Caenorhabditis elegans: one gene and its partners. The protein of the gene in region 2 interacts with the protein of the main gene of each other region in a biochemical or structural test. Each region holds a gene or a part of one and is shown on either strand. Other genes may lie near its edges.

What was found.
Region 1: of the proteins of syd-2 (region 2) and elks-1, one has a biochemical effect on the other in vitro, tested with the Caenorhabditis elegans proteins (one study listed by BioGRID).
Region 3: of the proteins of syd-2 (region 2) and rsy-1, one has a biochemical effect on the other in vitro, tested with the Caenorhabditis elegans proteins (one study listed by BioGRID).

What each region holds. Positions count from the first base shown.
Region 1 is NC_003282.8:3,345,832-3,354,433, reverse strand, and holds the start of elks-1 (ELKS/RAB6-interacting/CAST family member 2), read left to right. Parts: upstream 1-4,406; 5' UTR 4,407-4,515; coding exon 4,516-4,525; intron 4,526-5,009; coding exon 5,010-5,130; intron 5,131-5,265; coding exon 5,266-5,511; intron 5,512-6,599; coding exon 6,600-6,789; intron 6,790-6,837; coding exon 6,838-6,946; intron 6,947-7,326; coding exon 7,327-8,359; intron 8,360-8,602.
Region 2 is NC_003284.9:10,547,626-10,559,262, forward strand, and holds syd-2 (Liprin-alpha), read right to left. Parts: upstream 7,615-11,637; 5' UTR 7,540-7,614; intron 7,316-7,539; 5' UTR 7,312-7,315; coding exon 7,198-7,311; intron 7,149-7,197; coding exon 6,819-7,148; intron 6,748-6,818; coding exon 6,652-6,747; intron 6,603-6,651; coding exon 6,471-6,602; intron 6,378-6,470; coding exon 6,244-6,377; intron 6,006-6,243; coding exon 5,912-6,005; intron 5,819-5,911; coding exon 5,702-5,818; intron 5,653-5,701; coding exon 5,479-5,652; intron 5,434-5,478; coding exon 5,296-5,433; intron 5,246-5,295; coding exon 5,019-5,245; intron 4,976-5,018; coding exon 4,810-4,975; intron 4,719-4,809; coding exon 4,414-4,718; intron 4,320-4,413; coding exon 4,166-4,319; intron 4,087-4,165; coding exon 3,964-4,086; intron 3,906-3,963; coding exon 3,745-3,905; intron 3,701-3,744; coding exon 3,382-3,700; intron 3,011-3,381; coding exon 2,689-3,010; intron 2,637-2,688; coding exon 2,452-2,636; intron 2,340-2,451; and 5 more. Other genes in the region: F59F5.5 (uncharacterized protein), read left to right, coding at 1-82, 131-228, 286-454, 679-834, 1,191-1,337. UniProt on the Caenorhabditis elegans protein: May play a role in regulating the structure of the neuronal region, called the active zone, from which synaptic vesicles send neurotransmitter signals across the synapse. This may be in association with the liprin-beta protein hlb-1.
Region 3 is NC_003279.8:11,214,401-11,225,712, reverse strand, and holds rsy-1 (Arginine/serine-rich protein PNISR), read left to right. Parts: upstream 1-3,717; 5' UTR 3,718-3,737; coding exon 3,738-3,783; intron 3,784-3,924; coding exon 3,925-4,952; intron 4,953-6,461; coding exon 6,462-6,642; intron 6,643-7,571; coding exon 7,572-7,820; intron 7,821-9,074; coding exon 9,075-9,340; 3' UTR 9,341-9,536; downstream 9,537-11,312. Other genes in the region: Nuclear transcription factor Y subunit nfya-2, read right to left, coding at 436-509, 558-633, 685-766, 826-827; Y53H1A.2 (C2H2-type domain-containing protein), read right to left, coding at 1,740-1,811, 1,874-2,023, 2,740-3,072, 3,124-3,204, 3,306-3,314; Y53H1A.7 (Ubiquitin-like domain-containing protein), read right to left, coding at 11,116-11,304; ins-36 (INSulin related), read left to right, coding at 10,622-10,796.

The DNA of each region.
Region 1 (8,602 bases), on a different chromosome or scaffold from region 2:
TTTTGTCGATTTCTTAATTTAAAACATGGAAATTAAAAACATTGCGGAGTACGGTACACATCGGTGTTTGCGTACCTTTGCGTATCGTGCATTTAATTCGACGACATTTGTATATTTTTAAATGCAAAAATCAACGAAAAAGTTCTTTTTTAGCACAAAAACAGAGCTTTTGAAGCACCAAAAAAATTATTAAACAATACAGATGACATATGCTCCTAGAAAATACCAGAATGAAGGTGTTTTTGAGGAAAAAAATTTAGGCCAAAAATTTTTTTTTAACAGTATTTTCGAGGAATCAGAGAAGTTCCAGATTTTCCAGCAAGTTGAATTTGTAGAAGACTTAAGAATACTTCCGAAAAAAGTAGCTCTCCAAAAGTATTTTAGGCCAACGGAAGGTTCAAATTCACAACAAAAGTTAATGTGGAATAGATTTATTGAAGAAACTGAACAATAGGAACAGAAAATAACTTAATGACTTATTTTGTAGTAGTTCCAATCTTTATGAACACATTTTCAAGTACTAGATATCTTCCAATCGAGAGAAGCTCTAGTTGTCATACAGCTCGACTGATTTCATATATTCCTTGAGAACGCGCGCACCTCTCGCCCTTTTGGTGCAGTGGTTAAGCGCACGGTCTTCAGATACAGTCATTGCTGGTTCAAATCTGGATAGGTTCAGTTTTCTTTTACGTCGTCAAGTGTCCTGATATAAGCTTTCAATGTGTTTTTTGGATCACGAAATTCTCGTGAGAGCTCTTGTCAGCATAAGCGCAGGTCAGCATAAGCATATTCAAAACGTCAGCATAAGCATATTTCAAAGGTGTCACCATAGGATAGTTGGCAATGAGATTGTGCAATAAAATGTGTATAACTGAAATGTTGTTGGCGATAGTGTCAAAAACATTTGGTTTTTTAGGTTTCAATAATTTTTTTCGATTTATGAAAAAAAAATCCAAAAGGTACCCCTTACAAAAATTTTCTAAATTTTTTTTTGAAAACTTTTTAAAATTTGATCAGATGTTATAGAAAAATGCAAAGTTTGTAGTTGATCTAGTTTAGATGTTCTGAACACGATTTCAGACAGAAACCTGAGGTATAGTAGAACCTCAAAATTCAAAATACGCACTCACTTCGGATGTTGATATCTCCGTGGGAAAATTTTTTAAGACAAGGTAATAAATAATAATAATAAACTACAAAGTTGTATATCTCAATCTGAAGTACAACTTTGTAGTTGATTGTTTTTCATTAAAAAATTTGTTGGTTGAGATATGAACAGAAAAAGAAGAAGAAAATACAATCATGAAGGTGCCGAACTTTACACAACTTTATCTCGACCAAATGTATGTGTGACTGATATGAAAACATGTGCATACTCCTGTCTATAAATATTCAATCAATTCTCACCGATGTCCCCTTTGAACAGGTATCCCATTGGAACCTGTGTATGTTTGTACAGATGCCCCCTCTGAACGGATGCCCCCTCTGAACGGATGCCCCATTTGAACGGATGCCCCCTACTTGATAAAATAAAATAAAATGAAAAATTGATAAAAATTTGTGAATTCACGGCAAAATGAAAAAAAGAGGAGGCGGGCACGTTTCAGGCAGGCGTCGGGTCCTGAAACCGCGCCTGCCTACCATGGAAGTCCTATTTTCGACATTCTAGGCAACTTTTGTCAGTCATTGGTTTAGTTTTCGACAACTTGCGGTAACTTTTGGAAAATTTTGGCATTTTTTCTCCAATTCTCGTCATTTTCAGTTTTGCCAGATTTCGGTAAACTTTCTGAAATTTTAAAATGTTTTTTGACAATTTTGAGGCTCACTTCAGTGTTGCCAACTTCCTTCTCGTCAATTTTCAAATTTTTTTTACAAATTTTCGACAACTTCCTACAATTTTCTGCAACTTTCTGCAATCTTCTACAATTTTCTACAATTTTCTACAATTTACGGCAACCGAACTCGGCAACCATCCAACCCAGCACATGCCCTACCCACCAGAGGCTCCAAAAACCTAAAAGGACACTAAATTAGTATTCAAATTGGTCTTGACACACTACCTCCCCCTCCCTTTTCCTTCTTACACTTTTATGCAACAATATTCCATTTTTATCCTCTCCCCTTATTTTTTCTCTAATTCTCTCCAGTTTCGCCTCACACTCACCCAGCACCCTCCAATTTTCCCGCCCCGTGGTATCGTTTTCATTTTCTCATCACTGAGAAGAGAAAGGAAGGACCACACCCTCTTCAACATCATCAATTTCTTCGTATTTCTTCAGACGTATACTTCTAATTGTGGAGGGTCCTCCCGAGCGGAAAATTTCAATGCTAGCAGTTTCGTTGAAGCAGAGAAATTTTTGAAAAATTCAAAAATTCAAAAAAAAATTGTCGTTTCTTTTTTCCAAATCAAAAATGTTTGGTATTTTTGAATAGAACATCAAATTCTAAACATTTTTGTTTTTTACCGCATTTCTATATCTCACGGCGTTCTATTGTAGATGGGAGAGAGCGTGGGAGACGCAGACGACGAGACACTCTGCGTCTCCCCTTCCTCCACGCTCTCTAGGTCCCCATCTCAAGCCCCGTATCTCGAGAACGGTGATAGCTATTAAAAAGTTGTCAACTGATAGATAAATGTGTAAAATTTTGAGAAGAATAATTTTTGGGTTAGAAAATTTTTTAAAGGATTATTGTTGATGGAACTTTTTTTTTCAAAAAGTTCTAATCAGCAAAACAACGTAAAAATACACTTTTCACCTTAAATGTTTCTGCAATAAATATTAAATCTCTTCAATCCCCAGATTTTCCTACTTTTCCTGCGTCTCTCCAATCTCTTCTGGTTCAATGCCAAAAGCTCAACTACTCGACGCACTCCCTAAAAGAGAGTTTGAGAAAGACAATGGAGACGCAGAGAAAAGCTCTTTTCGGACTCTCACCACCCCTTTTTCTCTATCTTTTTGCCAAAAACGTAGTACTATGGACCACCGAAATTGAAGGGGGGAGAGACCTTTGCGCAAGTCGTTTTATTTTTTCTCTTTTTTTTGCTTTTGTTTTATTAATAGGCGTTTACAGTGTGGAGAGTGGGTGAGGAGGCAGAGAAGACAGTCTCGTTGTCTGCGTCTCTCTGCTGTATATATGTATCTGGAACGGTTAGAGCTTAGAAAATAGAGTAACAGAGAAAAAAGATCAGAATGTTGAAAAATCCCAATATACTTTTTTTTCTTTTTTCAAAAAAACCCCTGTCCTCCAATAAATCGTAACGTTTGCAATTTTCCGTTCCATTTGTCATCATTGAACATTGAAAGAAACACAAAAAAAACGCACTGAGCGTACTGTTTTCGTCTTTTCTATCCCTTTTCCCCGACACTTTTCTCTCAATTCCCTACAATTTTTGTGTCTTGGCGTCAGAGTCAAGAGTTTTGCCTTTTTTTTAAAGTTTTCTAGTATGGAAAATTTAAGAAAACATATGTAAGATTGCTGAATAATAATTTAAAAAAATCGAAAAAAATGTTTTTCGAATAGAAAACCAAATTTCTCACTTTACTATCTTTAACCGTTCCAGAGATACACGCATTTTAGAGCATAGTGCGGTGAGAGCGTGGTGGAGGGTGAGACGCAGTCGACGAGACAACCTGCGTCTCCCCCTCCTCCACACACTTTGCACTCCTCAACTTTGAACCCCTATATCTCTAGAATGGTAATAGCTACCAAAAAGGTTCCAACAGACAAAATGTGCGAAATTTTGTGCTTAACAGTTTGTTAGTTAAAATGTTTTTGTTAGCCGTTTTAGTTTTGAAGTTATACTCAGTTTTCTGAGGCGGTACCGAAACTTTTCTGGATTTTTCCGTACAAATTAAGAATAAACATATTCTGTTAATTGGGGAAATTATTATTCAAAAATTTAACCAAGACTCCGCCACTACAGTCCCCCTCCCCTCTCCTCTGTTTTCTTCATGCTTATCCGCGCGCAATCCGCCTCCCCTTCCTTTCTCTAACTCCTCTTACTCTCTCATTCCTTCTCCCTGTTTGTCAAACCATCTAGGTCTCTTCTTCGTCTCTTTATCTCTCGGCTCTCTTGCTTTTTGGCTCTTTCTCTCCTCTCCGCGCACCCCGCGCATACATTGACTTACACAAGACATTTGCTGCTTCCGGCCGGACTTTTTGAACGATTTTTTTTGGTTTTTGGGTTATTGATAGTGGAAAATTTGTATTCTGAAATTAGGAGTGAAAAGTTTAGCGGGAAATTTGAGTATATTTTGAGAATAAATTTCGAAAAATAAAAATTGAAAGTTGTTTTTTTTTCAAAATTTCCAAATTTAACCAATATTTCCTCATATTGTTTTAATATAATTTTTCTCCTAACTTTTTTCTCTTCTCCTCAATTCTCAAAAACTTCAAAATTTCAGTCAAAAACTGGATCGAGGCGGCGGCGGGTGGTACGGTAACGGCTTGGACGCCGAGTGGTCCTACAACGAACACGTACCCGGACCATCAAACTACCCGGAGCAGTACAATATGGCACCTGGTGAGTTTTTAGAAGATTGCAAATTTTTGCAAATTAAACAAATTTCGCTCAAAAAAAATTTTTTTTGATTTTTTTTTCGCCAGAAAAGCATGAATATCTCAAAAACTGAAAACTCTATTAAAAAATTTATGACTAACTAATTGTAGATCACAAAATTTCACACAGTTTGTTAGTTGATAACTTTCTCATATCTCCAAAACTCGCAGAGTTATGCCAATTTTTGCAAAGCTTGTTAAAATTCCAAATTTCAGTGTGCTCCAATGTTTAACCGAGGAGGTTTTTGCTAAAAATGTGCAATCTCTTGAAAAAAAAAGTGTGTTGATAAAAATTTGGAAAGAACATTTCAAATTTCCCGCCAATCGCAAAATGTAAGGGCGCTCTAATGCAAAAAGAGTTGAAGCGTTTCGTTAAATTTGGCACAACCTTTTTGAAAAATTCTACAACAAGTGCGCTCCAAAAAGAATTTTCCAATTTTTCGTTTCAGGTCCCGCACCATACAGCAGCCGAACATCGGTGATGAATTCCAGTGGCCGAAACCCGATGAATTATCCATCAGTCCCACCCCATACATCCATATCCGCCGCGTCGAGGCGCCCACTGCAACGGTGAGTAGCTTTTTTAGGGATAAACTGAGGAAAATTTAAGACCAAGCACAAATTTTCTGTCTCCCAACGGGCCTACAGCCTGCCCCTCGAAGACCAACTACTCTCGAGGCCTACCTAAGAACCATCCAATTCCAGGCAACACCGCTCGATGGACGGCCTTGGTGTCCTGGACGCCTACAAAGACTCCCTAGACTACGATATGATGCTCCAGCCGTCTCCACCGAAACCTCTACATCAGCCATCATACCTTCCATTGGAGATATCCACAAGTCAACATCACCATCCACCACATCACCACCCAACACAGTTCCAGCGTGGGCAATCGCTGGCGTTATCGAATCCGATTCCCACGCAGAATGCGTTCTGGCAGCATAATAATAGGTTAGTTAGGGGTGCCGGGTATTCGGGGAGGTCGACAGCTTCTAAAGTCGCCGGGTTGTCGGTAAGGCTGCCTGGTAGACAAAAAGTAGTCAGTGTGCTTGTCATTAGGGATGCCAGGATCCTAAGAGCCTTTAGTGTTGTCTAATTTGTATTGGTTGCCCATCAGAAGCCAGTGGCGTTGTCAATTTCCTGACTTGGTTGCCGCCTAAACTAGATCCCAGTTTCTATAGTGCTTGTCGGACAGGACCCTGCCGTCTTCTAAATCATCCATTAGGGCTTTTACCTTTCTTCCTATACCGTTTCTTCCTCCCCCTCCAGTTAACACACCACAAACGACACAAATCTACGGCTCCAAGACCCCACCCTAACCTAATTTAATTTGCGGGGGGGGGGGGGGTGGTGCTGGTGGACCCTCCGAAAACCAACATTTTTTAGTTTTTGTTCTTTCAGTTGAATTTCCTCCAATTTTTAAAGAATTTGCGGGTTTTTGCTGCTCCTCATCTCTCATGGGAGTATAATATGCATGTATATATATATATTTTTTTGCACACATTGACTGCTGCTGACGTTCTCTTCCGAAAAAAAATTGGGGGCTCAAAACAGATGAATTTTAAGTGGGGTGGGGGAGCTCTGGAGATTCAAATAATATTATGTAATTTTACTTTGAACTGTTATATCGTCGAGGAGGTTAGAGGTACAAAAAAATTTTCCACTAACAAATTATGCTGTTTTTAATTTTGAGCATTTTGTTAGTTGACAAAAACTCGTATCGTTAAAGGCAATAAAGTTAGATCCGAAACAGCCTCTGCCTTTTCACTTGCCTTGCCTACCTGGGATGATACGATGGTCTTCAATCCCTCTTATCTCCTAGGTAAGAATAGATACAAAAATGTAGTCAACATGGAAACTGTGCAGTTTTTAATTTTGAGCATGTTTCCAGTTTACAACAAATTTTTATGTTTTTTTAAATGTTTAATAGCTAAAAAGTTATAGCGTTTGAAGGGCAACACCCAGGGCCAGAGCATCGGTAGAAACTTGTGTAATATTACACGCGGAAGACTTTTTTCCTCAATTTTCCAATATTTCAGCATGGCCACCACATCAGTCCAAGACTACGACCTAATGCAACCAGGCATATCCCGAATCCCCACCGGCACTGGAAGTGGCCTGAACATCGCGAGAGAGTACGAGCAGCTGAAAGTCGAATACGACACAATGATGGAGAAGCTAAATCAGACTATGAATAGTATCAAAACGTTTTGGAGTCCCGAGTTAAAGGTAATAGAGCTACCGTAGTGTATGATTAGCTATGTGAAATTGTTCCAGAGGGAGAGGCAAATGCGGCGTGATGAAGCCACTCGGATAGCGCAGCTGGAGAGGATGGTTCAGTCGGGAGGAGGTGGCGGTAATGACTACGGCCTAGGTTCTAGCGAAGGTAATTTAGGTGTTTTTTTTAAAATAAGCTTCAAAGCCTGCAATTAAATTAAGTTAATTTAAACGCTTGTTAACCCCAAGCGGATGACAAGTTAAAACAAAAGGGTCCCAGGAGTTCAATGTTTCTGAAAAGGTCAAGATCTTGGTTCGAATGAAACCAACACCTTAGAAGCAGAACAACGCCCTTAAGATCCTAAAAACATAAAATCCTCTGCTACCAGGGTCATGGACTTTTTAGGCTACCGTCAAGTAAGCCTTGGCTGTGCTTTACCCCTTACCGATTAAATCTGTAAGGCTCTAGGGTACCCATGTTTTTGTAGGTTTCCTTATGGTTAGGGCCACCTGGCCTAGGAATCTCTTACACAGTCTTCATTCTTTCAGCGCTACAACTCCGAATGGAACTCCGAGAACGCGACGAACGCATTCGCCAACTCACCACAGCTTTAGAATCCGGCTCCGGTGGCATGGACGGACGGATTCGAGAGCTAGAGGATACTATTATGAGGCTTCAGGATCTTCTAACAACCAAGGAGACGCAATCTATGATGGCAAGTCAGGATCCATCAGGCCGGCAAGCTATCGAAAACGCGCTTCGGAGGATCGATGAAAAGCAGGCGAGGATCGTGGAGTTGGAGGAGGAACTGATGAGGCAGCGGATGGGAAGGAGTAATCAGCCAAGAGATTTTACTGATAAGAACCTGTCCGGTCATGAGATGGCGACGATGCGCATGAAAATGGATCGAAGTGAGGTGGAGCTCGCGGAGAAGAAGCAGGAGCTCTTCGGGTGTCAGACAAGAATGCAGACCGCTGAGGAGACTGCGAATGAGATGAGAGGTCATCTTCAGTTGTTGAAGGATCAGCTGACAAATCGAGAGCAACATAACACTTTGCTACAGGGTGATGTGGATGCGTTAAGGCAGAAGCTGGATAGTAAGAATAAGCAGTTGGAGCAGAAAGACGAGCGTGTGGCTGCACTGGAGAGAGATCTAAGTTCCAGCAAGGCTGATGTGTCGGATAAGGGCGAGTTGATCAGGCAGACCGAGATGAAAACTTCTCAATTGATCGGCAGAGTTGACAGCCTTGAAACAACAGTTCGGGAAAAGGAGCAAGAACTCGATCGGGCTAAGATCCGCCTGCTAAGCCACCCGGATGTGGTGAAGGAGAAGGAGATGACCGAGAAAATTGAGCAAGGAGAACGAGAGAGACAGCGGCTCGCCGAGCACATTGATCAAGTGCGGAGAAATGCGGAGAAGGATGCGATGGAGCAACAGAAGACCTATCAGAATGAGATGACACAGTTGAAGGCGACCATTGAGAACTTGCAGAAGGAGTTGTCGGATAGGGATATACTTCTGGAGTCGCAAAATGAGAAGATTGGAGATATGAATCGGGATCTTGTGCAAGCAAAGAAGCGGTGAGTTTTCTGTGAAATTTTCAGAAAATTTGGTTAGCAGGGAGCCGAGTTATGTGCTTTTGAAGTTTTAGGTCGAACCGCGACGCGACTGCAACGCGTTGATTTTTTCGAAGTATTTGTTTCCCATCTAAAAATTGACAGAAAACATGCACGTCATCTTTGAGCCAAGTTAACAACGTGGCTATAAAATTTGAAGATCTACCAGAATACTTTACTTTCAAATTGGAAGTTCCAAAATAGTTT
Region 2 (11,637 bases):
CGCCTCCAATGTGATGAATGGTTGCGTGTGCACACACCCATCTGGCTTGTGTAACGAGTTTAACAAAACCTTCAATTACCAGGTTAAATATATTCTTGAGGTCATTTAAAACATTAATGGTTTTTTTTAGAAAAAACATGTGATTGAGAGAAAGCATGAAAATTTACATTACTGTTACGCTTTGATGCACAAAGGATACAAACCATTCGGACAGGAAGTATTTAAAAAGTAGTGTTTTAAATTTATTTTTCATTTAAAAATAATGTTTTTAAACATTTGTTGTAGATCATCAACATGTGAAGGACACTATTGCTTCATATCTCTTACAACATCTGAAATTGTTTTAGAAAGTGCTGATTTTAAACATAATTATGAAGATCATGACGAATTTGTGGGCGCTGCCAGGCCAAGATTTGAACTTCAAGCAGGATGTGTCAAAGTTAACGGCAATGATGTAAGCGTTTATAACAACAGTAATTTTAGAACATTTTTTAATATCAGGAAATGAGAAGAATATATTTAAGCATAAAGTATGAATCTTTACACCGTGTCCAAGTAGATCTGTTTTACTTCAATTAACTGATTTCAAGCTCATCAATTGTTTCGGCAAAATCAGTTCTTCTAAACATTCAATAAAGAAAAATACAAAGAAATTCTCAATTGTAAATTTCTTTACAGAAAGTGCAAATCGGTTGCACAGTTGAAACGCAGGGGAACAGTTCGGAAGTTCTTGCAAAGCATTGTATATGCGACAGTCATTTGTGCAATTTTCACCACTTGGTTCGCGGAACAGATGACCCACGCCCGAAAGCTGCGATTCCGGGGGTAAAGCAGGTCAGTTAAATTCTCTTTGATTTTTTACTCACCAATGCATTTCTTTCAACGTTTTGAATAGTCAAAAACAGTTAATTATGTATGACTTAACAAATTGTGTCTTTAGTCAAACCCCTATCATAAAATATAAAAATGTTCGTATGTAAAAAAATGCTACCCTTGTTTGGTTGGGTTCAAAATGCCGTTACTCAAAAAACGGAATTAGTAGGAACAAGAAATGTTGTCCTTATAGCCTTCTTGTGTTATATTTTATCTTTTGAGTATTACTTCATTTTAGCCATGCCATAAATCATCGTCCTAACTTTACATCCAACAAATTTTCAAACCAGTAGCTCAAAAAGCAAACATGTTTACAGACGACGAATCAGTTGAATCCAGTCCGATTGTATACTTCAAATAAGGAAATTGATGAGAATGACATTCTATCTGTGATGAATGGAGTGAGAGAAGCCCAGAGCATGACAATTGGAGCATTTATTTGGTTATGCATCAGAATATTTTAGTGAACACTGACTATCTCATGATTTCCCAACTCCCGATTCAAATTTTATACGGTTGATTTTCTTTCTACATTTTGTTTCTTCTCATTTAAAAAAAAATTTCAAACTAAAACTATTTCGGACCGGTTCAAAAAGCTACATTTGTAAAAAAATGAAACGTTTTTATTAGAAAACAATGTAAACGGAATGTTGTTTGCCAAGAATCGAAAACAATGATGAGATTGGATAAAAACTATAATTAATAATCAAGGAAATAAGTTAAAAGTATTTGGTTTTGTAGAAAAATTGAATATTAGCGCACTTTCTTTCTATCTTTTTGATTTTTACCAGAAGAAAAACGTGCTAAAAAGATATTTAGGGAAAAACTTGAGAATGGAAAAAATATGGATATGATAATGAGAATAATTAAAACTTAAAATACCGAAAAACTGAAATCGTCAATAAAAAATTACAGAAGCAGGCGGTATAAGGTCGTTTAGACTAGCACGAATGACAGGAAAGACACGAACGAGTGAGAGGGAGCGGAAAAAATTTTAATTTAACTAACTAACTAGGTATATAAATGAAACTCGTAGGATTTTGCTATGGAATCATTCTTACGAGAACTTCCACTTCTCTGAAAATTGAAATTTTGCACATTACTAAACGATGAGATCAAACAATACTGAAGTTAGAGCAAACACACCAAATCATACCAGTATTGTGGAAAAGACGTTAATTAACAGTGTGAATTATGACTGAAAATGCTGATTTTTTGAAGGTTAAAGTTGTTTTAGATATCTGAATTAAAAATGTTTTGAGCAACCGGGAAGAGTTAAAGGAGCACTGCAAAATGTCAAGGAAAATCTAGTTGAGCAAGAGAGCAGCACAAAAAATTGAACAATGTAAGAATTGATTATTGTTTAAAAAGAAAACGTGTTAATCGACGGACTATGGCATTACCGGATGGGGATCGGATTGTTGACGGTGATCGTTGACTAAGCCAATGAATTTCTTTTCCAGTAGCTAAAAATGTATAAGATTATATGAATAATTGTTTTTGCGGAATAAAATGATATTTGAGTATTATTTTCAATTTTTCCCAAAGGTTTCTTGAATTATGATGACTTCTACTCACTTGTCTGTTAGGAACGTCTTGAGATCCAATCTGGAGTGCATATGCAAAAGCGGATGCGTCAAACGTTTCATCCAGTGCAATTAATGCACCATGTATTCCACTATCCACTAAATTTCTTGAAAATACACCTAGCCCGATTTCTTCCACCCATCGCTGAACTCGTTCATTCGACCACACTAGCAAGTCTGCAAGGTATTACCCATAAAGGCATTGTTGTAAAGATAATATAATTATTACCTGTGTTGATATTATCACACGCCTTTCGCCGATCCGCCAACACTTTCTTATCATAGTTGACTTTCTTGAGACACATAATTCCGTATTGGAGACTTGTACGATGGAATGTGTCTACCATGCGCAGATGCGTGCGTAGGTCACGTTTTGAAAGATGTTCTAACATTCGAGCGTCAAGAAGACATTCCATAAACGCTGATCGGTATTGCGCAAGACCGAGACAAGGAAGCCAGTCGTTTCCAATATATTCATGATTCATATCTCCGAAGGCAAGAGTCAGACGAGCAGTTCGTGGGGCAGATGGTGACGTTAAAGAAACCATTTCCTGAAAAAAAGCATATACATATAATCTTGTATTGTATATAATTGTTTGCTCAATTTGAAAGTTTAACTGTCATTATTCAAAATTTCAGAAAAACATTAAGGATATTATTTTTTATGTAATGAAAAAATCAAAGGAATCTGTGAACACATTGACTGATCATTACAATTAATTTATATTGCAAATTTTTAACAAAAAATACCTGGCTACAGAGTTGCTGTATTTTTGCTGAATCTTGCCATGAGAACTTTCAAGTTGAAAGAACCTGGTTCGAACCAAGATAAATTTATTTTGGTGTTTTTTTTTCATTTTTTGCAACATACAAACAAAATGCCGTCTTACTGCCGGTTAGTAAATTTTTAAAGCCTCAGTACCTGAATTGCAAGTCGCAATTTCAACCTGTGCAATGGGTTTGAGATTCCAATCTCCTTCTGGATTTCTTGATCACTCAAAGCTGACATTATTGCACCGGATTTCACATTTGCTCTACACGCAGCTACATACCACGCTGGCATGCCAACCCACAGCTCCAGCCAGGCAACAACAGTTGGACCATTCCAAAGAGCAAACGGTGTTCGTGCTTTCATGGCTTCCTCTAATAGTTCATGCTTCTTCTTTTTCCTCCTGTCGTAATCAGCTTTTTGGTTTCCTTCTGTGCCCGACTGCTCGCCATCCGAATAATCTCCATTTCGTCTAAAAAATGATTGTATGTTTTCATAACTCAATAAAATAATCACTTGAATAAATCACTCGATGAATTTTTCTTTTTGTTGAAAAACCTTCCAAGCGTTTTCAATCCACTTGAGCTATTCGATCTTTTCTTCTTTCCGCCAAGAACGCCATCTGTCGAGGAAGCGACTGACGAAGCTGGACTCATTCGATCTCTTTCGTATTGCATCTGCAAAAGAAACGAACCGGTCATTAATCATCTTCTTCCTTCTTGAGATGACTCTTACCTCGTCAAATTGGTTGTACCCTCGTCGTGGCTCGTAGTCCAAATCTCTAACCATGCGGTCGTCAACAAACTGCGGATTGCCGTAAATATCATACCGTCGGTCACCGGATACATTTGCAGGAAGCTATAATTTAGAAAAATTCTTGAAGAACATTTAATACATATAAAAAATGTATTAAAAAAACAAACAAATGAAGACTTACAGTGTTATACTTATGTTGTCGCATATTATCTAATTGGGGACTTGCTCTTGGTGAACTTCTCGTAGATATTCCCTGATCATCATAGAATTCCCGACTTGATCGTTCTAACTGTTCAGCCACCCGTTCTGCGTGATGTTTCTCTTGTTGAATCAATCTTAAAATATACTTGTTAAAAACAATTAATAAAAAATTAATAAAGTTAAGAAAATACATTATAGAATCAGATTTTAAAACGATAATTAGCCCACCTTATTTCAGTATTTATTGCATCTAAGCGATCTTGTAGCATTGATGCCAACATCTGAGCATCTTGACCACCACCCATTCCACCTTGCATTCCTCCCTGCATTCCACTTGGCATTCCCATTCCACTGTTCATCATATCATCTTGCTGGTGTTGGACAGCAGTGTTAGGACGTGGAAGAGTCGATTGACCGACGTCGGCCAGTGATGGTGATGAGGAAAATGCTTGCTGGACGTTGGCAAGAACATGCGCTTGTTGAAGTCGATCCCATTCTTGCTCGTTGAGGGTTTGAACTTTGTTCGGATCGTCCTGAAATTTTTTTCAATGGTTGGTTTCTTTTTGTTGTAGCCAATAGCAATTTTAACATGGTGAAACAAAATGTCACAAAACCAAATCTCACCTGGAGTGCTGAAATCCTTCCTTTATTTGGTCTTCTCATTCCTACAGTTTGATACTGTTGAGCTGGTTGTTGTTTGTACATTTGGTATGCAGATTGCTGAGCAATCGAAGCTTGTGGTTGTTGCTGCACAATGTTTTGAGCATGTGTAAACGGAATTGCATGCATTCTGAAAAAATTACGGTTTCACCATGCATTATATTATGTTGTACCTTGACTGGAATTGCGCAGTTCTTGCATTGTACAATTGTTGCCTAAGAGCTTCAATCTCTTGCCGTAGAGATTCATTATCCCGCTGAAGACGATCTTTGATTCGTTCCGCTTGATCATAAATTTTCTTTGTTCCATCAAGCTGTTGTGTTAACCGATTTTTGTCATCGAGGGCTTGCATTCGTTCTTTGAGATGCAGTTGAAGGCGATCATTAGATTCCGATAAAAGCTGGAAAAATGTTTTGCTAACACTTTTGTGTATGATTTTAAAATGCTCACCTTGTCCACAGTGCTACTTAACCGTTGGCTGTGCTCTTCGTTCATGCGTTCTCTTTGCACAGCCCTTTCCAACTCTGCAGACAACTCTTGAATGTTTCGGTCCAACCTTTGGATGCGCTCTTCAGCAGAAACACTCTTCTGAAAAGGAAAACATTTTAAACAAACATAACAACAAAAACACACCTGTTCAGCTGCTGTAAGTGCTTCCATTCTTTGTTGTAATTCGGCTTCTACAGACGGAAGGGATTCAGCTTTTTTGAGACTTTGTGCAAGTTGCTTCTCTGCCAACTCCAATCTTTCTTGAAGTGAATGAACTTTTTCCTCATTCAACCTGACAGCCGCATCTTTATTGGCAAGCTGAAAAGAAAATGAGGTTTCTAATGCAATTGCGATGTCTTTTACTGACCTGATGCTCCAATTTGTCATTGAGGTCCCGGATACACGTTGACTCTCTTTGCGCGGTCAGGAAACGCGACTCAAACGTTGTTATCCGAGTTTCTTGATCGGTGCGTTGTGCATCAAGCTAAACATAGGAAAAATAAGTAAATACGCTTGAATTGAATGATTTTGAGGTAAAAGCAACAATATCGATACAAATTGATTATTTCACAAGTACCTCGCAAATTTGATTCTTCAAACGAACGATTGATTCCTGTGCAGCATGTTTTTCACGAGCATCTTCTGTCAATTGATCCTCGAGTTCGGCATTTCTAAAATTTAAAAATTTGGGGGAGTATTCATAGGCTTTTCAGCATGATTTTTTCCTATTTTTTTTACTGAATTGAGATAAGAAAACAATTTTTTAAATGTAATTTAATATATTTTTATAGTTAATTTTTACGCATTCTTCAAACATTTTTTTGAAAAAAAACCGAAAAATTTGACCACAAAAATTTATAGGTGTTTATATATTCACCATCAATTTTTGAAAAGTTATTACGATAGTACCTTGTTGTGATCTCAGTTGATTGTTTTAGTGAGTTGGCTAATTCTGTTTTCATTCTTTCTAAAGCCTCTTGCATTTCGATAAGTCTGTTTGCACTTTCACTGCTAATTGAACCATTGATGGGTGCATTTGACGCCTGAAAATTTTTGTTGATAAACACATTTTTGTGGGTATGTGATGTATTCTCGTTTTTCTGTTTTCTTTCTTATTTTTTTCAATGAATAATTACCATTGCTTCTTCCGCTTCTGCTGCGTAAGTGGCAATACGCGCTTTCAGCGACGAATTCTCATCTCCTTTTGTGCTCAGCTCTTCTTCAAGTGTCGCCACACGCTCCATTGCTACTCGAAGACGTTCACGAACCTGAATATTAAAACATTAGAAAATCTACAGAGTAAATACAAAAAATTACTTTTTCATCCAATGCCTTGTGATGCTCGAATAAACTCTTAAGAGCTTTTAGAACTTCAACTTCAGAAGATACGCCAGCGTGGTTTTGAGCTTGTCTCTGAAAAAGGAAGTTTTAATATTACAGCACATCAAATAGAATGGGGAACAATAATAAATCAAAAGACATACCTTCATGACCGTCATTCGGAGTGATCTTTCATGACGGGAAACTAAACATTCTAGGTGCTCTAGAAGAAGTCGAGTATTGTTCCGTTCTGCTTTGAGCTCGACAATCTCTTCATCTTTTTCTAATAACTGCTCTTTTAATAGGCATAATTCCCGCGTCATTGTTTGAAGTTCCTGCGGTAAATTTTGCGTATGAACTTCGAACTGTCTCTTCATCATATCTCGTTCTTTTTCAACTTCTTTCGTTCGGAGCCCTGCATTTTCCAGTTGCACCTTATAATTTTCCAACTGTTCTTGTAATTTGTCCCGGTCTTCCAACATGTTCATCATCAGCTGAAAAAGTTAAAGAACATTCAGTTTTAAGGTTTTACAATATACAGACCTGCTCAATGTTGTCTCGGTCCGATGGTTCATCAATGGGACCGCCGTTGTCCACTCCATCTTCCGAGATTGTCGGCATTATATCACAATTTATGTTTCCATTGCTGTAGCTCATATTTCTGAAACAGATTAAAATTGATAACTAAATTTCAGATTTTCAATCAAAAACAAAACATTAATAAATGTTTAGTTATATTTTGAAATCGTCTAGATATGCAGAAAAATATTTAGAAAAGCGCGAGAAAAAACGCAAGAAACAGAAGAAATTGGATACATCGCCTAGAAATAGAAATATCTGAACGTTGACTATACAATTTTCAAATTTAAAATAAAATACACTTACCAGAAAAAAATGTAAAGAAGTGAATCAGCTTGCCCTTGTTGAGTAATTTGTCATACCTTGCAGAAAGTGAATAACCTACAATAATTTTTATAGCAATAATTTTGTGAAGCTGAAAGACAAAATAATTAAAACGGTTGACACTAAACTAAGAAAGAACTACGAAAGAACTAAAAAGTAAGTTAGTTCCGTTGAAAGTGTTTTTATTTCTCTTTCCTCTCTCTTTCTCTCTACTTTTTTCGTTTCTTCCTCTTGTGTGTGTGTTATAAGTAATATGACTGCAACAACCAACTCGCCAAGCAAAAGAGTTGAGAAGATGGAAAAAGAGAGGGAAAGAAAAAGAGACAATAGACACAGGCCGATAAAGAGAAAGAGCTCCGAATTACACACAACGGTCAGTAGTGCTCGCCCTTCGTATTCTTCCCCCTTCTTTCTCCTTTTCGTCCTCTTCGTTGTGGCCGGACGTGGGCCCGAATCGATGCTAGGGCATTAGAGAATGGGTGCAAACGAAAGATGAGACAGGCCAGAGCCAGAGAACACAGGGTCACACATCTATCGGCCGTTTGGCTACGCGCGCGGGAGAAAACCCCCTTCCGTCCCCTCCCTGACTGCCTCCCGCTATTTCTTCGTCAATTGGTTCCTACATGAGAGTGCAAGATAGAATTGACAATTCGGAGAAGTACAGAAACAGAGAAAGGAGTAAAGGATAAAAGATAATAGAGAAATAGAGATGACAAGAGAATATTAGAGAGACAGATATGGCAAAATTCTGAACGTCCTGAAATAGTACGGTTGAACGTGAGAAAATGTTTCGAAACTGTATGAAACTTTCCAAATTGTATGGCTATAGAAAAAATTCCAGAACTTAGATAACTTATATTATATCCTATTGCAATGAATATGATAACAAAGATTTAACTCAATTTTCTTACAATAACTTTTTAGACACCGATGAACCTGAATTAAACTTGAACGAAGCTGGGCAAGTCTCTCGTTTAATATTAGGGCATCCGGAGAATTTCTAAACATTTTAAATATAAGTCAAGTTACTCTCACTAAACTCATAGTGATATATTAACCATTTGTAAATTGAATACGTTTTCTACTTCCAAGTATATGCAGCAATTATTTAGAACGAGTGCTCAAAATATATTCAATTGGGTTTTACAGGGAAGTTTATTTCAAATTTCAAAGATCGACTGACAATGAAGACTGACAAACAAGAACACTTCTTCGATTCCAACTTTTAGACTTTTAATGTTTTTTCCTAAAACTCCGTTTTTTTTTTTGGTTTTCTGTGATAGTAGCATAAAAAAGGGGAACAAAACACTGAAGCAGAAAAAAGTTTAACAACACGATTGTTGTATAAACTCGTCATTTCTGAGTCATTTTCTGAACGTAAAATAGTATAATAGTAAAGTAGTAAAACGTTATACAGATTGATAGAAATCGAAAAAAAAAGACGAGGGATCTAACAAGGCAAGAGTAAGAACAAGCGTTCAATTTGTGGAAGTGGCAATGAAAATAACAAGTGCCTTCACGTCCCCTATCCCTACGATTTTCCTATTTTGTTCCGTTTGGCGTCCCCCTCAAAACCCCAACATTCCTGAGATTTGCATAAAGTTTTCAAAGTCACCGAACATCAATGCTTTCATGGACGAACGAGTGCGAGCAAGGTCGGAACTAGTGAGAAAACCCGGAGAAAAAGAGTATGAATATTCGGAGAGAAAGTAAAAGAGGGGGACCACCTGCCTTCAACAGATGGATGAATATCCTGAGGTAGTAGTAGTTGACTGGCGACAGCCACTATGGCACGCAGCTGCATAAATTTAGAGCTTCCGATCGCAAATAATTTCACATATCTTGTTAGCAAAGTAGTTTGCTGTGAAACATGTTGCACCTTGAAAAGTAATAATCAATTGCCAATAGAATTATGTGTTAGACAAATTTTTTAAAAATTTATTTAGTAGATTCCTCGCTAATATTTTGTGAGAAATTACATAAATATGTCTTCGAGTTTGCTGTTACGATGTTTATGCAGGTGCAAAGTTCGAAGTGAAGCAGTACGATGTTTTGGGAAGTATTTTTGTGCAATGCCACTCGTTTGAATTGTTTTTAAGAAACCATTTCAATGATGCTATGCAAATCTAGCAATTAATTTTGATTTCTTAAAATAAAAATTTAAATAGGGAAGTTGCTTCTTTTTTAAACCAGTTTTTTTTAAACAATTAAGACATTTGTCGAAATTCAATGCCACTCAAAAGTTTGCAAGCATATTGGGTGAAATTCTATCATTAAAAATAAGATTCAATTTGCTGATTAAAAAAACCAGAAACTTTATTAAAATTTGGTGACGAGTTTGCTAAGTATTTTCTCTCTGCTAGCAAAGCCGAAGAAGATGTGCGCATGCATTCGTCTGTTGAATCGGTTAGCCCATACACACATACACATCGTCGTAATTACTGAAGATGACGTTGCAAAAGAAAGAAACAGAAAGAGAACCGAGCGATACGCCACTTGTTCATAGTTCTTGCAATGAGAGTGTTTATAGCTGGGTCTGTGCGTGTGAGTGTTCATAGATAACAGGAACATGTAGGTAACCGAGGTTTTCGTTTTTTTTTCGATAAATAAAGGTTTAACTATTCCGAACAACAGTTGTCTAACTATGGCTTGCGTGGAATGAAACTTATCATGTTTAGTGTCATTTGTGAGGAACTTGGCGAAATTGAAATCAGGAGTTCAGATAGTATGTACAATATCTGAAAAGTATTGAATTTTAACTGGATCGTGAAAAATACTCTATAATTCAAAGTCAGTCAAGCAAAATAGCGTCTTGTATTGAGTTTATTCAATCACATCCAAATGTTTTATATCTGTTAACAACTATATAATGTTGAACGTAAAAAAATGACTACAAAATTGTGTGTGTGTTTTTTCACAGTCTACATTTCATATTAAAGGGGGAGTAGAGCCAGTCAAACTCACTTATGGTGACACAATGACTAAAAATTTAGTTTAAAAATTATTTAAAAATTCTAAGTTTGTTATGATTTGTTGAGTAATTGGGAAAATTTCGGCTTAGCCACTTTTTTAAATGTCTTCCATCAAAAAATCTCTTTGAATTATGATCTCTATTTATGCTGCAAACACTGATATTCAAACATTGTAGGGTTGCCCATTTTTGTAGGTCAATAAAAGTTTTTTAAAAAATTGTAAAAAAATTTTTTGAATGATATTTGGTAATTTGCATCACATAAGTTGTTTTAAGCAATTTTTCCCACTGACACTACTTCATCTTCAAAATTCATACACAGTTACGAAAATGCCAATCAGCATGCCCAGAGGCGATAATTGACTGTGAGGGGATATCTTGATACAGTTCAGGTTCTTTCACATGCCCACATGATATAAACATATATAGGTTTGCACTATTGAATTTGAAGATTTATCATATCCAACATATCTTATTGCAGTCTTTAATAGTCTAGAATTCATATTCATTTTGCACTGTTGGATTTCAATCAAAATTTAGTCATTTAGTCCGTATTAGTCTTGTGCCTTCTAATATGTATTCTTGCACTAGTTAAATACCGGACCAGCTACACGTTGTTGAAAATGAGGTAAAATCGTATTTTTGGTGTGAAGTAAATTTGAACGTGGGTTGCGTTTAGTCTATAGAAACGTATATATTTCCTGAATTCTAAACAACAGAAATCAATAATATTTACAAAGCCAAGAGTCATTTGAAGTAAGTCTTTCCGCTGCCATTAGTCTTATTATGTTATATATATATATAACGAAAACATGACATTAGGTGTAATCACCGGCAAGAAAGACTGACTAAAGACTGATACGAGAAATACGGTATTAATAATTTTGCTTTGGTTGTAAAAACAAATCGGGCCCCGTACTTTTTGTTCGTTACAGTTTCCCGTTGTTTTTTTCAAGTTGTTACAGTGGCTTTGAAAAAGTTTAGAGATAAACTGAAATAAACAATCCACAGTTTATAAATGTTTCATTTTATTTGTGATGCCTTGAAGCCGTAGTCATCATCATGAATAAATATCCGGTTTTACTCCAATTGAGTGACCACAAAAAATG
Region 3 (11,312 bases), on a different chromosome or scaffold from region 2:
GTCGTGTCGAGACCCGTAGTTTTGGCGGAAAAATCGTGTATGAATAATAAAAACTAGATTTTTCGGTGAGAAAAATGCCAAAAAATTAGAAAATAATTGGTTGAGGCTGAAAAAGTTGTAGTTTGTAGTCTGTGAGCCTCAACCAAAACATTTTAGGCTGGAAAAACCGATTTTTTAACAAATTTCTGCTAAAAAATAATGAAAAACGCAAATTATTGCGTTTTTAACAACAAAAAAACGTAAAATTTCAATCTGGGTGAGGCCAAGCAATTTTGTAGTTTGTAGTCTTTGACCCTCAACCAAAATATTTTCGAGCTTCAAAGCGAGTTTTCGGTCGAAAAATTCAAATTTTTTTGGAAAATCTCGGTCAAATGAGCCGTTTCAAGGCCTTAAACGTCGTCCAAATGTCCTAAAAACAGCTGTAAACTACAGTACTTTGCAGTCCGGCGGAAGTTGAACAGTTGTCGGCTGAGTTGTTCGGATAGCTTCTCGAATTTGACCGAAATTTTCTAAAAAAAAATTTTTTTTTAGAAAATTATTTTTTTCCGGGCACGTACGATTTGGTGGTGGCGGTGGAGCCGATGATGTGCTCGCCGTATTGTACATGTGATATTGGGACAGTGAGGTGAATGTCTGAAAATTGTGTAGTTTGTAGTTTGTAGTCTCTTCGTTTCAAAATCCTACTGTTTGAGGTCTTGCTGGTGCTGCTGGACGTCTGTTTAACACAATTTGAGTCGGCATTTTCGACGGATTTCCACGTGGATTCCTGAAAAAAAAAAACAAAAAATTTTGTAGTTTGTAGTCTGTGAGCCTCAACAAACTTACATTTTGTTTCTTACACGATTTTTACGGGCAGACTCAAGCTGTGATGGAAATGCTGAAAAAAAATTATTAAAATTTTGTAGTTTGTAGTGTGCGTGCCTCGGCTACAAACTACAAAATGTCATAGCCTCAACCAAATTTTTTGGGACTTTTGAGGGAAAAATCAGTTTTTGGAGGTTTTTTTTTTTTAATTTTAATGCGAATTTCATGTATTTCACAGCAGAAAATAGGCAATTTTTGATTTTTCGACTGGAAAATCGCTAGTTTTCGGACTTTTTAATGGAAAAATACGTAATTTCCATTTTTTTAAAGTGATCTTTTTTATAATTTCCGCTAAAAAACTGATATTAACATTTTTTGGTTGAAAATTACAGACTTTGTTATTTTTATCCGAAAAATCTGAAAATATTCATGATTTCTGATTAAAAACGGGATTTTTTTTGGTTTTTCGTGAAATTTTTCACATTTTTTAATTTTCAAATGAATTTTTGTTTTTTTTTTTGTTAAAATTTTCACAAAAAACTCTGAAAAAAGATTTTAGCTTCAAAATTCAACAAAAAAACTTGGTTGAGGCGGTGTCAGTTTGTAGTTTATAGCCTCTCAGCCTCAACCAATATTTTGGTTGCGGCTCACACACTACAAACTACACATTTTGGGTGAAAAAAAAATGAAGGTATTCGCATAAAAATGGGCAATTTTTGAGGAAAAAACTGAGAAAATCGTTGAAAAATCAATATAAATTGCAATTAAAATGAATTTTGTCAATCAAAAACTGAATAAAAATTTAAATATGCACCGAGAAAATCAATGAAATGAGCGTATGAATAAGGCCACTGGGAAATCGAGTTAGTGTCAGAAATAGTACACAGTAAAAAAATGTAATTTACAATATAACAATCAAAAAAAATTTTAAAAATTCATGAATCCGGGTCCAAAATCTCTGTTTTCACATTAATCTTCGGCGGAAACTCGTCACAATTCGGAGTTTTCTGCAACAAAAAAAAATTAATTTTTTGTCAAATTTTCAGTGAAAATTCGATTTTTTTGCTACCTTCCAGTGTCTCCGGAGACTATCTGGGCTCTGATAGCAATATCCACATTTTTGACATTTATAGGCGTCCGGATTGCGGTGTACAACGATATGATGCTTGAGACGTCGTTCCGATGTGTACTTTTTCGGGCATTCCGGGCAATTGTGCTTCTGAAAATTCGAAATTGTTGGGCGAAATCCATGAAATTGTAGTTTTTAGTCATTTTTATAAGAAAAATCGGGAGAAAATCGGTTTTTTCGGCCGAAAATAGTTTTGGGTGAGGCTCAGGGACTACAAACTACAATTTTCTTAGCCTCAACCAGTTTTGCGTTAGTTTTTGGTGTTTTAGGATTGAAAAAGTGAGTTATAAGCTTAATACATTGCAGTTTTTAGTCATTTTCATATAAAAAAATTGCAGAAAAATCAGTTTTTTGGTCGAAAATGTTTTGGGTGAGGCTAACAGACTACAAACTACAATTTTTCTAGCCTCAACCAATTTTTTTCGTAAAAATTGAAGGTTATTATCGTAAAAAGTTAATAAATATCATGAAATAGCCGTTTTTACTCATTTTTATACAAAAAATTGGGGAAAACCGTTTTTTTTTTGGTCGAAAATGTTTTGGGTGAGGCTAACAGACTACAAACTACAATTTTTTTAGCCTCAACGAATTTTTTAATACGATTTTCAACTGAAAATTAGGTTTTTTAATAGTATAAATTAATTTTTAAGCGAAAATTGAATAAAATCCTATTTAAAATGATTGCGGTTTGTAGTTTGTAGTCTGTGAGCCTCAACCAAACGAATTTTCGTCCTATTGGCTGAAATTTGATGATTTTTCATGTTTTCAGGGCAAAAATTGTTAGAATCGGGGTTTTTTATCAGTACCATTTCACTTTGGCCATCCTCATCATCTTCGTGATCCTCTATTTCTTCCGGATGCTCAGATTTTGGAGAAATTACTCGATTTTCCACGATTTCTTGTGAAAATTCTGGATTTCTAGGATGAAAATGTGATAAATTCGAATAATGAGCTTGTTGCACAGATTGCGGGGGCGAATATTGATTTTTCGGTGAACAATTTTGAGGCACATTTTGCGAATTATTGTCGTAGACCAGCTCATATTCGTCGGTTTTCTGCTCCGCAAACATATTTCTCATTGTAGTGAGCACTTTTGGTCCATCTTCGTCTGATGTGTAGTTTGAGGAACAGGAAATATCCTGAAAAATTGGAAAAAAAAAGTGATTTTGCAGAAATTTTCGGGGAAAAACCTCTATTCCACTTTGTAAATTGAAGTCATCGCCGAAAAGCATGTAGTTTGGACAGGAAAAATCCTGTTTTCTTTCTGTCATCTGAAAAAAAAGCAAATTTAAATTTAAATTATTCAAAAAACAACTATTATCGTTGAAAATTGCTGCTAAAAATTAAATTAAATTAAATTAAATTAACCTACCGTAGCCATTAAAGGCGCATGCTGTGTTCCCTCGAATGGGTTTCTACACGAAATTGGAAAACGTCGGATTTCGGCAGGAATTCTGGAATTTAAAATCACTTTTCTCCAAAAATTAAATATATCGATTCATTTTCTTCACATTACAAACAAAAAAACACGTTCAAGTATCTGAAAATCACACAGAAAGCCGCCGTCAATAAAATTCGGTGGCCGCGTGGCCGTGGACTAGGTTTCGTGTAAAGGAACGGCCATCGACATTTTTTCGATTTAATTCTATTTTAGAATATTTTCAGCGCATTTTTAAAGCTTTTAAATAGAAAATCTAGCTGAAAATTTCGAATTTTTGTTAAAAAATGCTAGTTTCCACCTTTTTCCTCCCAAAAAAAACCAATAAGATCGATATTTCCTGCAGAAAATCACAAAACGAGGGAAATGGAAGATTGGACCAACTATCATCAGGCACAGCCGGCGGAAAGTGGTATGGCGTTGTGATTTTATTGAAAAATTGAATTTAAAATCGAAAAATTTGGCAAAAAAACACGAAAAAATCGATTTTTTTCGAGATTTTCGCGAAATTTTTTTAAATTTATTTAAAAATTAATTTTCGTCTATTTTCCAGTCGACTGGGCCCAGCTGGCCCAACAATGGATGGCGATGCGCGACACAGACGATCGTCGAGCCGGAAATTCACACGATTTCGCTCAAAATCATCAGCTCCCGTGGCATCAGCCACGTCATCCGGGCCCTCCGGCTCATCAGGATTGGGGCGATTGGTCCGCGAATCGGGACGAGCAGTGGAGAGGGCCGCCTGGGCCTTCTGGGCCGTCCGGGCCCCCCGTATATCATAATCAAGGCCCGCCTCGTGGATATCCACCACCACCGCCACAGGGAGCAGACACGTGGCGTGGAGCTCCTCCACCAGCTCACCACGGACACTTTGGACCGCCTGGACATCATTTCCAAGGCCCACCACAACATTTTCCGCCAGGGCCACCAAGGCCGCACTTTCCAGGCCCCCCAGGCCCACATAGACCTCCAGAGCACTACCCAGGGCCTCCAAGACCTCAGGCTCCAGCGGCACCACCACCGAAAAGCCTATTCCCGTCGGCCCAAAAGCCTAAGCCACTTTTTGCGGCGGCTTCAAGTGCTCCAAGCTTCTTCGGAGCACCTCAACGTCCACCACCGCAGCTGCACTTTTTCCAGGAGAGCCCCTCGGTCCAGCACGATTTTCAGCAGCCCGATTTCCAGCCCGATTTCCAGCCCGAAAACTACCAAAATTCCCCGGAACCCCCGGCCCAAGCTGGCCCGAAAGGTGTGCCTCCACCGGCTCCACTAATGGCTTCAGGGCCCACAAACCCGTATGCAATGAACAAAGAGGCCCGGAAAAAACTGCCGGCCTGGATCCTGGAAGGCCTTGAAAAGGCCGAACGGGAGAAGCAAAAGCAGTGGGAAAAAGAGGAAAAGCTGAAGAAAGCGGAAGAAGAAAAAGCCCGGCGAAGAGCCGAAGCTGGAAAGAGCAAATTTGACTCTTCGTCGGATGAAGAGAGCCCGGAAAATGAGAAATTTCCTGTTGGTAATGGAAAATCTGAATATCAGGAAGATGATAATGATTCGGAAGACGATTTGGAGGAGAGACGAGAGCAATTTGTACGGGAAATTCTAAATTCCTGAAATTTCCGCAAAAAAAAACCTAAAAACTACAAAAAATTTGAGAAAAAACGAAGATATTCTAAATTTTTAGAGGAAATTTTTCAAAATTTGAGAAAAAAAACCAATTTTTTGAAAAAAAAAATCCAGCTTTGTAGTTTATAGTCTCTCAGCCTCAACCAATATTTTTGGTTGAGGCTCACACACTACAAACTACAAAAAATTTTGAGAAAAAACCAAAAATTTGTCGAAGATTTTCTGAATTTTTAGAGAAAATTGCTAAAAAAATCGAGAAAAAACCGACGAAATTTGATCAATTTTTGTTGGTTCAGGCTCATGCTCAGACACTACAAACTACAATTTTCGGGTAGCCTCACCAAAATTATATTTTGAACAAAAAAATCAATTTTACAATGAAATTTTTGTATTTCGAGGAAAAATCGTTTCTTTTTTTACTTTTATTTCAAAAAAATGTTGAAAATTTGAAAATTTTAGCCGGCTAGACTACAAACTACAGAAATTTTTTTTTTTAAATTGTATTTTCCCAAGATTTTCTGAATTTTCCAGTGTAACTCCTAAATCCTAAAAATAATTCCTATAAAACACCGAGTTTTTGATAAAATTTCAAAAAATCTATTGGTTGAGGCTATGACAATTTGTAGTTTGTAGCCTCTCAGCCTCAACCAATATTTTGGTTGAGACTCACACACTACAAACTACAATTTTCGGGTAGCCTCACCAAAATTAAATTTTGAAAAAAAAATAAATTTTTCAATACAACTTTTGAATTTCGGCAAAAAAATCGTTTTTTTTTTCATTTTTAATTCAAAAAAGTTTAAAATTTTAGACATTTTAGTAGACATTGGCGTTTTTGATGCCAGCTAGACTACAAACTACATGAATTTAAAAAAAAAAAACAATTTTCCCTAGGTTTTCTCAATTTTTCAGCGTAAACCATAAAAATTCCAATAAAAAACCCAGTTTTTGATAAAATTTACAAAAAAAACATTGTTGAGGCTATATGACAATTTGTAGTTTGTAGTCTCAACCAATTCAAAAATTGGTCGAGGCTCAGACTACAAACTACAATTTTTAAGACAGCCTCACAGAAATTTAAATTTTCAAAAATTCAATTTTTTCAAGATTTTTTAAAAAATTTTCTAAAAAGTTTTGAAATTCGGGTAAAAAAAATTTTTTTGTTTCAAAAATTTTATAATTTTGATGCCCGCTAGACTACAAACTACAAAAATTTCGAAAACAAACCTTAAAATCTTCCCAAGATTTTCAGAATTTTTCAGTCAAAACCTTTAAAAATGCAATAAAAACCGAATTTTTGATAAAATTTCAAAAAATCTATTGGTTGAGGCTCGCGTTTTTGGAGGCTGTTAGACTACAAACTACAGAACTTTTGAAAAAAAAAAATTGAATTAAAAATTAAAAAAGGTCCATTAAGTGGAGAAAAACCTCTTAAAAATTTCAAAAAAAAAATTTTCGAAATTTTTTTTCCAGATACGCTGTGTGAAAACTCTAATGATGAACGTGCTCCTCGAGTCTTCGAATGACGTCATCATGCGTATAATACAAGAAGAGCTCCGTGAGCACGAAAAACTTCAATTTGAACGGAAAAAATTGGCAACTGCGCCGAAAATCATCGGCAACAGCTCAGCGTTGGCGGCTCTCGCGGCTTTTGGTATGGAGAAGCTCGCGAAAATTCGAAATTCGGAAAAAACAATTTTTTTGACCAGAAAATTCGGTTTTAAAAGTTTTTTCCAAGTTTTTAATTTAAAAAAAACCGAAAACTTTAACATTTTTGAAATTTTCTTCCAAAAAGCTATGAAAATCGTATAATTTTTCATAAAAAATTCATAAATTGTTCCAATTTTTCGACGAAATTTTTTTAAACAAAAAAAATTCGATTTTATCGAGTTTTTTGAGCTAAAATTTCAAAAAGTTTTTTAAAAATTGATTTAAAAAATTCGAAAAACGAAAATTTTCAACATTGTCTTCAAAAGTTTCACATTTTTTAAAAACTTTTTTCTAAAATTTTCGAATTTTCCATATTTTTTTTAAATTTAAAACAGTTACAATTTTGAAACAAATCGAATTTTCTGGTTGAAAAATTTGAGATTTTCCGAAAAAAAAAGTAAAATTTTTGATTTTTAAATCGAATTTTTCAAAAAAAAATAGCGAAAATTTAGATTTCCAGAAAATTTTAATTTTATATAAAAATTGTGTTCAAAAAGTTCCTGAAAAGCTCTTCTTTTTCCTAAAAATTCAAATTTTTCAGAAAAAGTTTTCAAAAAAACATTTTTTTTTTTTGGAAAAAATCGGTTTTCAGAAGCTTTTTTAATTAAATATTCGTTATAAAAAACGATTTTCGAACAATGTACCAAAAAAGAATTTTTAGTTTAAAAATTTCAATTTTTTCGATTAAAAATTCCATAAAATGTGAATTTTCAATTTCTCGAAAATTGTAAAACTAAAATTCAAATAAAAAAAGCCTTTTTTTGCAAAAAAAAAGTTGAGTTTTCAGTTAAAAAAAAAAACGTTTTTTAGAGCTAAAATGTCATATTTTTTGAAATTTTATTTCAAAAAATTCAAATTTTTCAAATTTTCCAGGAGACGGTGAGGATAGTGACAACAGCAGTGACGATGGAGTTGGCGACGACATGGAGCCACGGCAGGAGAGCAGTGGCTCGGCGGAGCTAAATGGAGCATCAGGGGCAGCAGAAGCAGGAACACCAGAAGCTGGTGGTGGAGAGTTCAAGGCTCCCGTGGGTATCCCTCGAAAGTTTAGTGTTAAGACAGATGATGTCAAACCATCAGTTAATGATGATGGTGAAGGTGTTGATGATTTACACGTTCCAGGTAAGGTAAACTAATGAAAAATATAAAAATATATTCACTTTTTGTTGAAAAAAATACCATTTTTGCTAATTTTTTCCCCGATTTTAGCGTCAAAAATGTGTTTTTCTGTAGTTTGTAGTCTATTAAAGCGCGAATTTTCAGCCAAAAAACTTCAAAAACCTACTGGAAATCCACTTTTTTGAATTAAAAATTCAAAAATTTCAGGAAAATCTGCAAAAAAAAAATGTTTTTTCAATATTTGTGTGAGGCTATGTTATTTTGTAGTTTGTAGTCTCAGCCTCAACCAATTTTTGAAATAATTGAGGCGCGCTGGAGACTACAAACTACAAGTTTTCTTCACAATTTTCACTTTTTTCCGCCAAATTTGAACTGAAATTTTTTGGGATTTTGGGACATTTGGGATTTTGGATTTTTGGGACAGAATGGTTTTGTAGTTTGTAGTCTCGGAGCGCCAATTTTCAGCCAAAAAAAATAATATTTTATTCCAAAAAACCCACTGGAATTCCACTTTTTTTGGATTAAAAATTCAGAAATTTTCGGAAAATCTGAAAAATTTTGAAAATTCAGTTAAAACCGCTTCTAGAACTCGAAAAATCTATTTTTTAAATCCAAAAAAAAATCTGAACATTCCTGAACATTTGGTGAGGCTTTGCTCATTTTGTAGTTTGTAGTCTGTGAGCCTCAACCAATTTTTGAAATAGTTGAGGCCGGAGACTACAAACTACAAGTTTTCTTCACTTTAGCAGAGATTTTTCGGGAAAATCTCACTTTTTATCTAAAAAATTTCAAAAATTCTTTTCTTTTTTCAATAAAATCTCTGAAAATCCAAATAAAAATCCAAAAAATTTTTTTTTTCTAATTTTGTAGTTTGTAGTCTGTGAGCCTCAACCAATTTTTGAATTGGTTGAGGCTACAAACTACACATATTTCCCAGCCTCAACCTAGATTTCTTCATATTTTACTCATTTTTTAAAGAATACAAATGAAAAGTGTGAATTTTTGAAATTTTCACTCGCAAACGTGTAGTTTGTAGTCAAAATATTGGGATTTTACTATTTTGGGTTAGGCTAAGCTGATTTTGTAGTTTGTAGTCTTCGGCTAAATATTTAGAAATTTCCTTTCAAAAAGTCTGTAGTTTGTAGTTTGAACCTTGATTGAGGCTGATGTGATTTTGTAGTTTGTAGTCATTCTCTAGACTACATAGAACTACACAATCTACACACAAAATTCCGGAAATAATATTCAAATTTTCAGATTCAAAAAACGGCGATAATAAAAAATCGGAAAAATCGTCGTCGGAAAAGAAGAGAGAACGAGAGATGAGAGACGATGAGAAGGAGAGAAAATCGAGTAAAAAGAGCAAAAAACGATCGAAAAGTCGTGAAAAAGAGCAATCTTCATCACGACATAATCACCGATCGAGAAGCCGATCTTCGGAACGGGATCGCCGTCGAAAACGGTCGAGAAGTTCGGAACGTCGGAGGGATCGGGGGGACAGGGATCGGCATAGTCGACGTTGATTTTTATTGATTTTAACGATAAATTATTGATTTTTCCGATTTTTACCGCCGATTTTTTCCACCAATTTCTTGCTCCAAATTCTCATTGTTCAAAGCCGCCCGTTTTTCTGGAAAACTCCCAAAAAATTATTTTTTTGTATTACCTATGATGACATTTTCCCATTGATTTTTTTTTGCTTAATGTATTTTGAAGTTTTGTTTTTTCGTTTTTGGTTTCAGCATATTTCAGAATCGCACAATAAATTCTAATTTCGCGCCTGAATTTTTGGAAAAATAACTAAAATTTGAATTTCCCGCTAAAATATTAAAAATAATTTGAAGTTCGCGCCAAATTTTTTGTTTTGAAAATTCGAATTTCCCGCTGAAATATTTAAAATTTTTGGAAAAATTACTAAAATTTGAATTCGCGCCTAAATTTTTGAAAAAAATACACATAATTTAAATTTCGCACCAATTTTTTTTTTCGAAAATTCAAATTTTTCGCAAAAATCATGGAATTTAACATTTTAATTATTCCGCCAAAATGTTTAATTTCCCTCAAAATTTGAATTCCGCGCTGAAATTTTTGAAAAATTCTATTTAAAATTAGCGCCAAGATTTTGTAAAATTTAAATTTCTCGCTAATAAATTTAAAACACATTGAAAAATTGAAGTTTGAATTTTCCTCAACAGATTGACTAGAATTATCAGTTTTGAACGCCTCTCACGAGACAAAAATCAATGGCCGAGTTTTCCCGAATTTTCTAGGCCATGCAGCAAAGGTCGGTCATGAATTCCTTACACTCAGAATATTATAGAAAAAATACGATCGCACAAAAATAAACAACGACGCAACGACACTCCGCTGTTTTTAAGCCCCGCCCACGATTTCATTTGCACTGAAATGTGGCGGTCGCAGTGCAAATGAAATCGTGGGCGGGGCTTAAAAACAGCGGAGTGTCGTTGCGTCGTTGTTTATTTTTGTGCGATCGTATTTTTTCTGTAATAGAATTATTAACCTTCGATCTATTTATTTCATTTAGCCATAAAAACTATGTGTTATAGTTCTTCTAACTGATATGAATTTGTGCAGAGTATTGGCATGTTTTATCAATTTGTGACTGTTCGAAATTGTTTCAATGTTTTGCTTTTTTAATTTTTTAAACGGCCTGAAATTCGGCCTGGAACGGCCTGAAATTAGTTTTCAAATTTTTTTGTTCTTAAACTTTTTTTTTTTTGAAAAAAATAATATTGTATTTTTCACAATTCAATTCATAGAAAAATTGTTGTTTTTTTTCCAGAATGAACATAGGCAAATGTTCCATAATTTTCCTGCTCTTTTGCGTTTTCGGATCAATTTTGAGCCGAGCAATCCGGAAAAGACACCCAGAAGGGAAATTGGTTATTAGGGATTGTAAGAGATATCTTATCATGTACTCAAGGACAATTTGTAAGGAAAAATGCGAAAAATTCGATGGTAAGTGAGCCTGACTGCTATTTTCTGAAATTTTCCAACAAAAAAAAAGGAAAATACATACTATTTCACTAACTTTTCCCACACGTTTTTCATATTTCGATGTTTTACTAAAATGCTTAGCTTTTTTTTAAATACTATAGTTTTTCTGGGATTGTATATTTTTCTATAGTAGGCCCGCGGACTATACTCAGGGAAATACTGCTGAGCGTTGGCGACTTAGTTACTACTTAGAGTTGGCAGGAGTCTGTCTACTTTCGGCAAGATTGTGTCAAAATTCTCACTTTCGGCAGGAGTTCCTTTGCCTAAATAAGCCCGCGGACTATAAACACACAAGAGTCCCGGATCTTGGTTTGGAATAATAAAGAAAATCAAAATATATGCATAATGTTGGGGTGTGCAGTTTCGGCCCGAGTTGTCCGTAGTGTGGGTGGCAGTTGCAGGTCACGGTCCGCGGCAACGCCGCTCTGTCGCTAGTGTCCACCCAGGCCACGTGACCGAGCCAATCTCCCTGAATCT